Ovis aries: one gene and its partner. The protein of the gene in region 1 purifies or fractionates together with the protein of each later gene. This does not show direct contact. Links are inferred from orthologs where the notes say so. Each region holds a gene or a part of one and is shown in the gene's direction. Other genes may lie near its edges.

Evidence for each region.
Region 2: the proteins of GDI2 (region 1) and RAB24 purify together in Homo sapiens (affinity purification with mass spectrometry; 3 studies listed by BioGRID and IntAct, with this or other methods). This does not show direct contact. The link is inferred for Ovis aries from reciprocal best matches to the Homo sapiens genes GDI2 and RAB24.

The regions. Positions count from the first base shown.
Region 1 is NC_056066.1:42,499,544-42,503,102, forward strand, and holds part of GDI2 (rab GDP dissociation inhibitor beta), read left to right. Parts: intron 1-561; coding exon 562-760; intron 761-1,021; coding exon 1,022-1,153; intron 1,154-2,302; exon of another isoform or gene 2,303-3,400; coding exon of another isoform or gene 3,401-3,559. Other genes in the region: choline transporter-like protein 2, read right to left, coding at 3,401-3,559. UniProt on the Homo sapiens protein: GDP-dissociation inhibitor preventing the GDP to GTP exchange of most Rab proteins. By keeping these small GTPases in their inactive GDP-bound form regulates intracellular membrane trafficking.
Region 2 is NC_056058.1:36,477,124-36,481,449, reverse strand, and holds the start of RAB24 (ras-related protein Rab-24), read left to right. Parts: upstream 1-1,507; 5' UTR 1,508-1,915; coding exon 1,916-2,032; intron 2,033-2,115; coding exon 2,116-2,184; intron 2,185-2,391; coding exon 2,392-2,470; intron 2,471-2,577; coding exon 2,578-2,645; intron 2,646-2,734; coding exon 2,735-2,834; intron 2,835-3,032; coding exon 3,033-3,083; intron 3,084-3,221; coding exon 3,222-3,284; intron 3,285-3,386; coding exon 3,387-3,451; 3' UTR 3,452-4,326. Other genes in the region: PRELID1 (PRELI domain-containing protein 1, mitochondrial), read right to left, coding at 313-538, 1,124-1,215.

The DNA.
Region 1 (3,559 bases):
TCATGAGTAATAGTTTTTCAAAGTTGTATTTGTACCTAATATAATTAAACTTGTTATATTTAATTAATTATGGGTCATAATTACTTGTAATTGTATTGTAGAATTGAAGACTTAATAGCTGATCTGTTTTATTTATGGGAAGCCCGGTTGTCTCAGTGGTAAAGAATCCACCCACCAGTGTAGGAGACTGTAGTTCTATCCCTGGGTCGGGAAGATTCCTTGGAGGAGGAAATGGCTACCCACTCCAGTATTCTTTCCTGAAGAATCCCATGGACAGAGGAGCCCGGGGGCTACAGTCAGTGGGGTCACAGAAGAGTCGGACACAGTTTAGGGACTAAATAATTACGACAGTGTATTTCAAAGTGTTACGAAACTGTCAGTTTATTTTAAAGAAATGGTTAAGAAAGAAATTTCATTTATTTTAAAACTCCTGTATTTTAAATTGCACATTGCATTGTAAGAGCCTAAGATAGAAACATGGGATATTTAGACTTTGTTCTCACACTTACTTTTCCTCAGTGTCCTGTTGCGAGTGTGTCTTTTTGAAAAATTCTTTTTTAGGCCTAATGGGGCTGTTTGAAAAACGTCGATTCAGAAAATTCCTGGTATATGTCGCCAACTTTGATGAGAACGATCCTCGAACTTTTGAGGGCATTGATCCTAAGAAGACATCAATGCGAGAGGTGTATAAGAAATTTGACTTGGGCCAAGATGTTATAGATTTTACTGGTCATGCCCTGGCACTTTACAGAACTGATGAGTAAGTCTTCTGGTTTTTAGATTTATATTTTTTCTTGAAATTGTCACTGAATTTCCCAATTCTGCAGAGTGGAAATTCTAACAAAACAAATACATAGCTATGTTATACTGTGAAAAAGAAGTTTCTAACTTCAGTTTCGTGTTAGAGCCTTATAAGTAAAATATGGAAGTGTGGAATTGAAATCCTTTCAGAAAACGATTTTAAATTGAGCAGAAGAATGCAAGCCAGAGTGCTTTCTAACGTTCATTTCCTTTTGTCTAGCTATTTAGATCAGCCATGTTGTGAAACCATTAATAGGATTAAACTTTACAGCGAGTCTTTGGCAAGATACGGCAAAAGCCCATACCTTTATCCACTCTACGGCCTTGGAGAACTGCCACAGGGATTTGCACGGTGAGAGCCCATCTTTAACCTTGTCCTGAAACCCCTCTGATCCTGAGCTGCATCTCCGCACAGTCACCCAACCCCCACTGTAACAGCTGCATTTGTAATTTTTATCACCAAGGATCACTTTTGTCTCCTTTTAGTTTATATGAAAGGAATATGTGCTCACTTTTGCTTAACAGTATTTTTGAGATTCATCCGTATTGATGCATGTGCTGGTAGTTGTTTAAAAAATACTGAGTAGTATTCCACTATGTGAATTGTGTGAATATGTCACACTGTCCTGTCGATGGACATCTAAGTAGCTTTCAAAAAGTTCTGGGGTGTTACGAATGAAACTACTATGAACTTCTGTGTAACAGTGTGTATGGAGCTGAGTTGCCACTTCTTCTGGGTACATCCATGTCCAGGTGTGGAGCTGCTGGTCGAGAATGGCATGTGTATGTTTCATCTGATGAGACATTGCTTAACAACTTTCCAGAGGGGTCGTAGCATTCTGCTTACACTTAGCGGTGTGAGAGTTTCGGTTGCTCCACACCCCTGCCAGCATTCACTATTGTCAGTCTTTTCCAGCAGGTGTGAAATGCTATCTTTTTATAATTTTAATTTGCATTTTCTGAGGACTGATGTTGATCACCTTTTCATGAGCTTGTTTTGTGAAATTTTGTGATGTGTTCATTTGTTGTGCACATTTTGTTATTTCCGATTAGCTGTTAATCACATTCAGTGAGTTTTAAAATTTTTTTAAGTTTTTTCAATAGATCTAGAATTCCCATGTTTAAAATATAGTTTTCATTTTTATGGTGAGGTTTTCTGTTTGTTAATTTTGACTCATGAATATGTAATATTTTTGAGCATAGATCTTTGAACAAGCATATTTGTTCTGTACATTTTTATAGTAGCTGCATTTAACTCCCCGCATGTTTTAACATCAGTAATTTGGGCATCTGTTTTGATCGCTTTTCTTTTTTCCCTGCATTTAGTAATCTTTATATAAAATTATATTTTATACCATGCATATTGCACATACTGATTGGTATACATTGTAGAGATGCTGGATTCTTTCTGCGATTGAGTGATTTTGTTTTGAGTTTGCAGTTAAATTATTGACCATTCATCTTGAACTTTTGGAGGCTTGATTTTTTTTTTTTTCCACTGTACAATAGGCACTTTATTAGTGGTTGGAATGCAGTTACACATAGGGGTGTGTGGACAGAATGGGGGAGGGGGGCAGGTAGGCACAGGAGACAGAAACCCCAGGTTGGGGCTTCTCCAGATCACATATCGATATGGGGGGCCTTGAGATATGGCGAAGGGAGAACGGGTACACCAGTTCCCCTGAATTCAACACATTTGGCAAAAGATCCTCAAAGCGAGGAGACTGGGGGTGGGGGGTGCCCATTTGCCCAAGGCATCTACCCCCATCCCCCCTTTCTTCGAAATCATCCCTTGGGTGGATTCAGTTTCTTATGTCTCTTACAAAGAGAGGTGTGTCAATAAGTGGCAGAGAAAAGGGGAAATTCGGCCCGACTCAGCCAGCCAGCCAGTTTCCATTTTTGCCGCTATTACCAACCTCCTCCCCACCAGCCTACCCCCAGCCTCCCTGCCCCCACAACCTACCTCCCTCTTCTCCACCCCATCGACACCCCAGCTGCTGCCTCCCTGGCCAGGAGACACCCCTACCTGGGTACACACAGCAACACCCAAGGAGGGGACATAAGCATTCTTTAGCGGCCCCATCTCAGCCGTGAAGACAGAGAAAAAGCTAAGAGACCCTTTAATGCATGTCCAGGTTTAAAAATAAAGAAATGCCTGCAGTGGCCAGTAGCCAGTTGTTCAGCCTGGAGAAAGGGTTCTGGCATCCTGGCCAGAGCAGATGCAGGTTACAGTGGCCTTGTTGCAGCCACCGCTGTTGCAGACACAAATACTGTCCTGTCGTAAGAGGGGGCAGGAACCACAGGGCAGCCCACAGAGGCCCCACATGTTGGATAATAAGAAGCCCCACCTGGATTCTCATCCTGGCTGGTGGGGGGTGAAATAGTGAGGGGGGGAGGTGCCCAGAAAACTGCGACTGGCCCTTGGCATAGGGAGGTGATGCCCCAAATCCTGCAGGTTCCCTGGTGGTAACTGGATGATGGGTGGGGCAGGAAGGGGGCGGCAGTGATAGGACTTCAGGTCAGCCCGATGGGCTGAGGGTTCTGACCCAGCTGCCCAGCACACATCACGAAAGTTCCAGGGAGGGTGGGGGCAGGGCCTCTAGGCCTCCGCCTGCCTCTTGTTGGTCTTGTTCAAGATCTTGAGGGTGAGAGACATGAAGTAAGGCCTCTCGGGCGTCCCATCTTTCCTCTCCAAGTCCTCCAAGAAACAGAGGAAAAGTGTGTCCACGCACATGCCGTAGACACTGAAGAAGCCATG
Region 2 (4,326 bases), on another chromosome or scaffold:
TACTGTCTCCTTCCCTCAGCATCAAGCCTGTGGCCTAACCCATACTGGTGCCAGGCACACTGTGAGTGCCCTGCATTTAGCACTTACAAGTGGAACACAGGTATTCCTCCTCCACTGTATGAACGAGTTAGAAGACAGGCCTAGAGAAAGTAACCGCCTGGAAAGACCATCCAAGTTTGTACTCTAGAGCTATCACTCTTCAGATCTGCTTGATCTGAAGCTCCTAGCCCCTCACAGAAGCTCCCTCATGGTTCCCTAGCCACATGTATCCAGAGCGCTCTAGTTCCGGGGGGGACGTGAGAGGGGTCTCACCATCAGCCGGGCGTGGTTGATGTTCCAGGTGAAGGTGGTCATGGTCTGGTTTTGTGGGTCCACAATAGAATCCTCCAGGATGTACACTGAGTGAGCAACATTGGCAGGAAACAGTCGCTCAGCCCAGCGGGGCATCCTGTTCGTCTTGGTCAGGAGTCGGCGGGACAGGAGCTTCTGGTCAGAGGTCACCTCTCGGTGCACTATGTCTTCCGTCAAGACATGCTTGCTGCAGGTGTCAGGGTGAAGGTGACCCTCAGGAGCCTGACCCTGGGAGACTGCCTGCTGAGGTTCCCATCTGGAGCCTCCACGCTCAGAATGGCCAGGCCTTTTCCCAAACTTTCAGAGTAAGCTGTGGTTGTGGCTCAGACCTGAACTGGAGCCTTTGAGCCTCTCCCAGGGCAAATTCCAACTCCCGCCCCCTCGCTGACCTGGATTCCTGGGCATTCCAGCAGGGGTGGACCTCCTGATTTACTGCACCACTGGAGAGCAGTCAAGGGCAGAGAAGCAGGCAAGCGCCCAGACTTCCAACCCCAAGATCCCTCCCCAATTCCTGTGCTGCTTCCTCTTCCTGTCTCACCACACTGAGATGAGAGAACCTTAAGACTAGGGCTTCAAGTAATCCACTGCCCAGGCCCAGCCTCCTTCCAGTACCCTGTAGGCCTAGTCTGGCCGCTTACCCGATAGGGTTCTTCTGCCCTAAACATGGCCAGGCTCTGGAGATCCCCCGACTCAAAGTCGAGTCTTTCCCGGCCCCCAGACTCCGATCTCCAAAGAGCGAGGTAGGAGGGTTGCTCTTCCCAGGGCCACGTACCTATAGGGATTCGGGTACCGCTGCCAGAAGGCAGCGAACACTTGGTCCCAGGAACTCCGGAGCACGCTCTGGCCCAGGAAATACTTCACCATCGTCCCGGCCGGGGCGGGCTCAGCGCCCGAGCAGCATCAGGGGTGCGGAGCCCGAGGGGCACGCGGAGGCCGGGCTGGAGCTCGACGCTCAGCCGCCAGGCTAGCAGCAGGTCAGTCGCTACAGCGCCGCACCCGACCAGCCACCGCCGCCGCCGCCGCCATGAGGAATTATCGGGCCGCGCGCCACTTCCGGCTCAGCAGTGAAGTACCCACCTCTTCCGGTGCCTGCCCACGTGACCCGACGACCCCGCCCCCACACTCTCCTTCCCCCTACACCCCTCTCCCCTTCCCCGGCCCCGCCACCGCTGGAGTCGCGGCGCTGCGGGCCGGAGCTGGGTTGGAGGATCCCCCTGGCTCGGTGGGGAATCTGTGCCGGCGCGGCCTCTAAGCTAGGTGGGCGAGCGAGCGGCAGAGCGAGCTAGCAAGTCGGGCGGCGGCGTGCGGCGCCGTTAAGGGCGCTGCCCCGCGCGCTCCCAGGCCGCCCCGGGTCCCAGGCTCTTAGGAGGAGAATTCCTGGGCCCGAAAAGCGGGGGCGGACGGAGGCGTTGTCATCGCTCAAGCTCGTTGCGGCGTGTGGAACCTTAGGTTGGCGCCTGGGGTCGGGGACTGAGGTTAAGGGCGCTGCCTGTCGGAGCGGAGATCCGGGTTTGCCTCGCGCCCCCGCTCAGGACCCTGACGCGGGTGAGGCGGCCCCGGGAGCATGAGCGGGCAGCGCGTGGACGTCAAGGTGGTGATGTTGGGCAAGGAGTACGTGGGCAAGACGAGCCTGGTGGAGCGATACGTGCACGACCGCTTCCTAGTGGGGCCTTATCAGAATGTGAGTGCTCCCGACGGGGCCCAGCACGGGTGGGAGGGGGCTAGCCGACACGCGAGGCTCTGATCGCTTCCCCTTGGTTGCAGACCATTGGGGCCGCCTTCGTAGCCAAGGTGATGTCTGTCGGAGACCGGACGGTGACTTTGGGTATTTGGGTAAGTTCTCTGGGCACGTAATCTGGGAAAACCCACTCTTGAGGAGGCGTAGTTCCTGCCTTGTACTGACTTGTGGGCTCACGGGGGTTTCTGTTCTCTAGACCCCAGTTTAAAAACAGGGGTCTGGAGGACGTGATATTAGTTTGAAGTCGTGGGGAGTATACCTTCGTAACTCAGGCCAGGGCTGAGCCTCCCCCTGCCCTTCAGGACACAGCAGGCTCTGAGCGCTATGAGGCCATGAGCCGAATCTACTATCGGGGCGCCAAGGCTGCCATCGTCTGCTATGGTAAGAAGAGTTTTGGCCTGTTGCTCAGACAAGAAGGGGAGGGTGCCAGGCTGGCCTTATAGAACAGCCCCTCACCCTTGGTTGTGTTTCCTGTGTTCCACACCAAGACCTGACAGACAGCAGCAGCTTTGAACGGGCAAAGTTCTGGGTGAAGGAACTGCGCAACCTAGAGGAGGTAGGTGGCCTGACCTCACCAGAAAACCAGGCAGGGGCTGGCGGTCTGGTGGTCCAAGGGAAGTGACCCTGACCTGTCTTCTGCTCCAGGGCTGTCAGATCTACTTGTGTGGCACCAAGAGTGACCTGCTGGAGGAGGACAGGCGGCGGCGACGAGTGGACTTCCACGACGTTCAGGACTATGCAGACAGTAGCTGCTCCTTAGCTCCTTGGGTTGGGGAAGGAAGGGGCTGCTTGGGTGGGTCACAGAAAATAGGGGCTGCCTTGGCAAGATCCCCCACAGGAAGACTTTCTCTGGCCTCCCTGCATCTTTCAGAAGAGTCCCTGTACGGCTAGTCTGTGCCCACCTAATTCTCAGGTATGAGGCTTTAGTCTTTTCTCTTTACAGATATCAAAGCTCAGCTCTTTGAAACATCCAGCAAGACAGGCCAGAGTGTGGGTGAGTGCTGTCCTTGGCCTCACAGCAGAACACACAGGGGCAACAAAGGAGGCAGAGGAAAGCCCAGAGGGCTGGGTTACTATGGGATCCCTGGGCTCCTAGCATCTGGTCCTCACTAATCACCCTTTTTCCTGCCAGACGAGCTCTTCCAGAAAGTGGCCGAGGATTACGTCAGTGTGGCCGCCTTCCAGGTGATGACAGGTGTGTCCTTCCTTAGCTCCTGTGGAGACTCCCTTCAGGCCCACAGCACCTGACCCCCACCCCCCGGAAAGTATGTTGAGCTACCACCTCTCTCTTTAACAGAGGACAAGGGCGTGGACCTGGGCCAGAAGGCAAACCCCTACTTCTACAGCTGCTGTCATCACTGAGTCACCACTCACTTGGCCTGGGGGGGGATTCCCCCAGGGAGTCTGGACCTAGCTCTTGTCTGGGCTTGGATGATCAAACATCTGAGCTACCTGGGTCCCAGTGGCAGCAGAGGTGGCACCTGCCTGTGCTGGCCCATGGAGCGGAGACAGCATTGGGGCTGACTGATGGGCACAAAGAGGGTAAGGGCTGATTTGGACCCCAGGCTTCTGCCCTGGACAGCAGTTGTGTCTACAGATTATTTAAATGGCTTCTGATTTGTAAATAAAATCAATGCACTGTGAATTACACTCAACCCCTTTCCCTGCTGTCTGGATTGGGTGTCAGGACACCTAGGACTTTCTGGGGCCACCTGGTTGGCCTCACTTCCTATAATCAGTGTTCTTCTCAGGTCTTATTTTCCTTTGGAAACCAAGTGGCTTCACCCTAGGGTTGCAGCTGAGATAATGGAGAAGCAAAAGGGCCCTTGCTGGGTTCTTTGGTGGGGGCAGAGATAGGGTGAAAAGCTGGGGTTGGGGCAGTGCAAAGCTCAAATGGTTCCTTCTTGGTGTTAAGAACTGGAAAGGCACTCAGGTGGTACCAGAGATCAAAAGGTCAAGCATTTCTGCCTCGGACTGGCTGGCTCTACTGCACCTCTGTCACGTCTAGGTCTGTGAGTCATCCCTGTGGCTCAGAGCCTAAGCTTCCCAGCAGCATTCTATAATGTGGCTTAATAGTAGACAAATTACAGGTTCTGCAAGACTTAGAAAGGTCTTAGAGATCCAGATTGGGCTCTAACTACCCAGAAAAGGGACTCAAACTTGGCTGTGTTCTCCTTTTAAAATGAGGTGACTAGTACCTAGTTCAAGACTATGAAGAGTATGGTTGGAATGTTAAC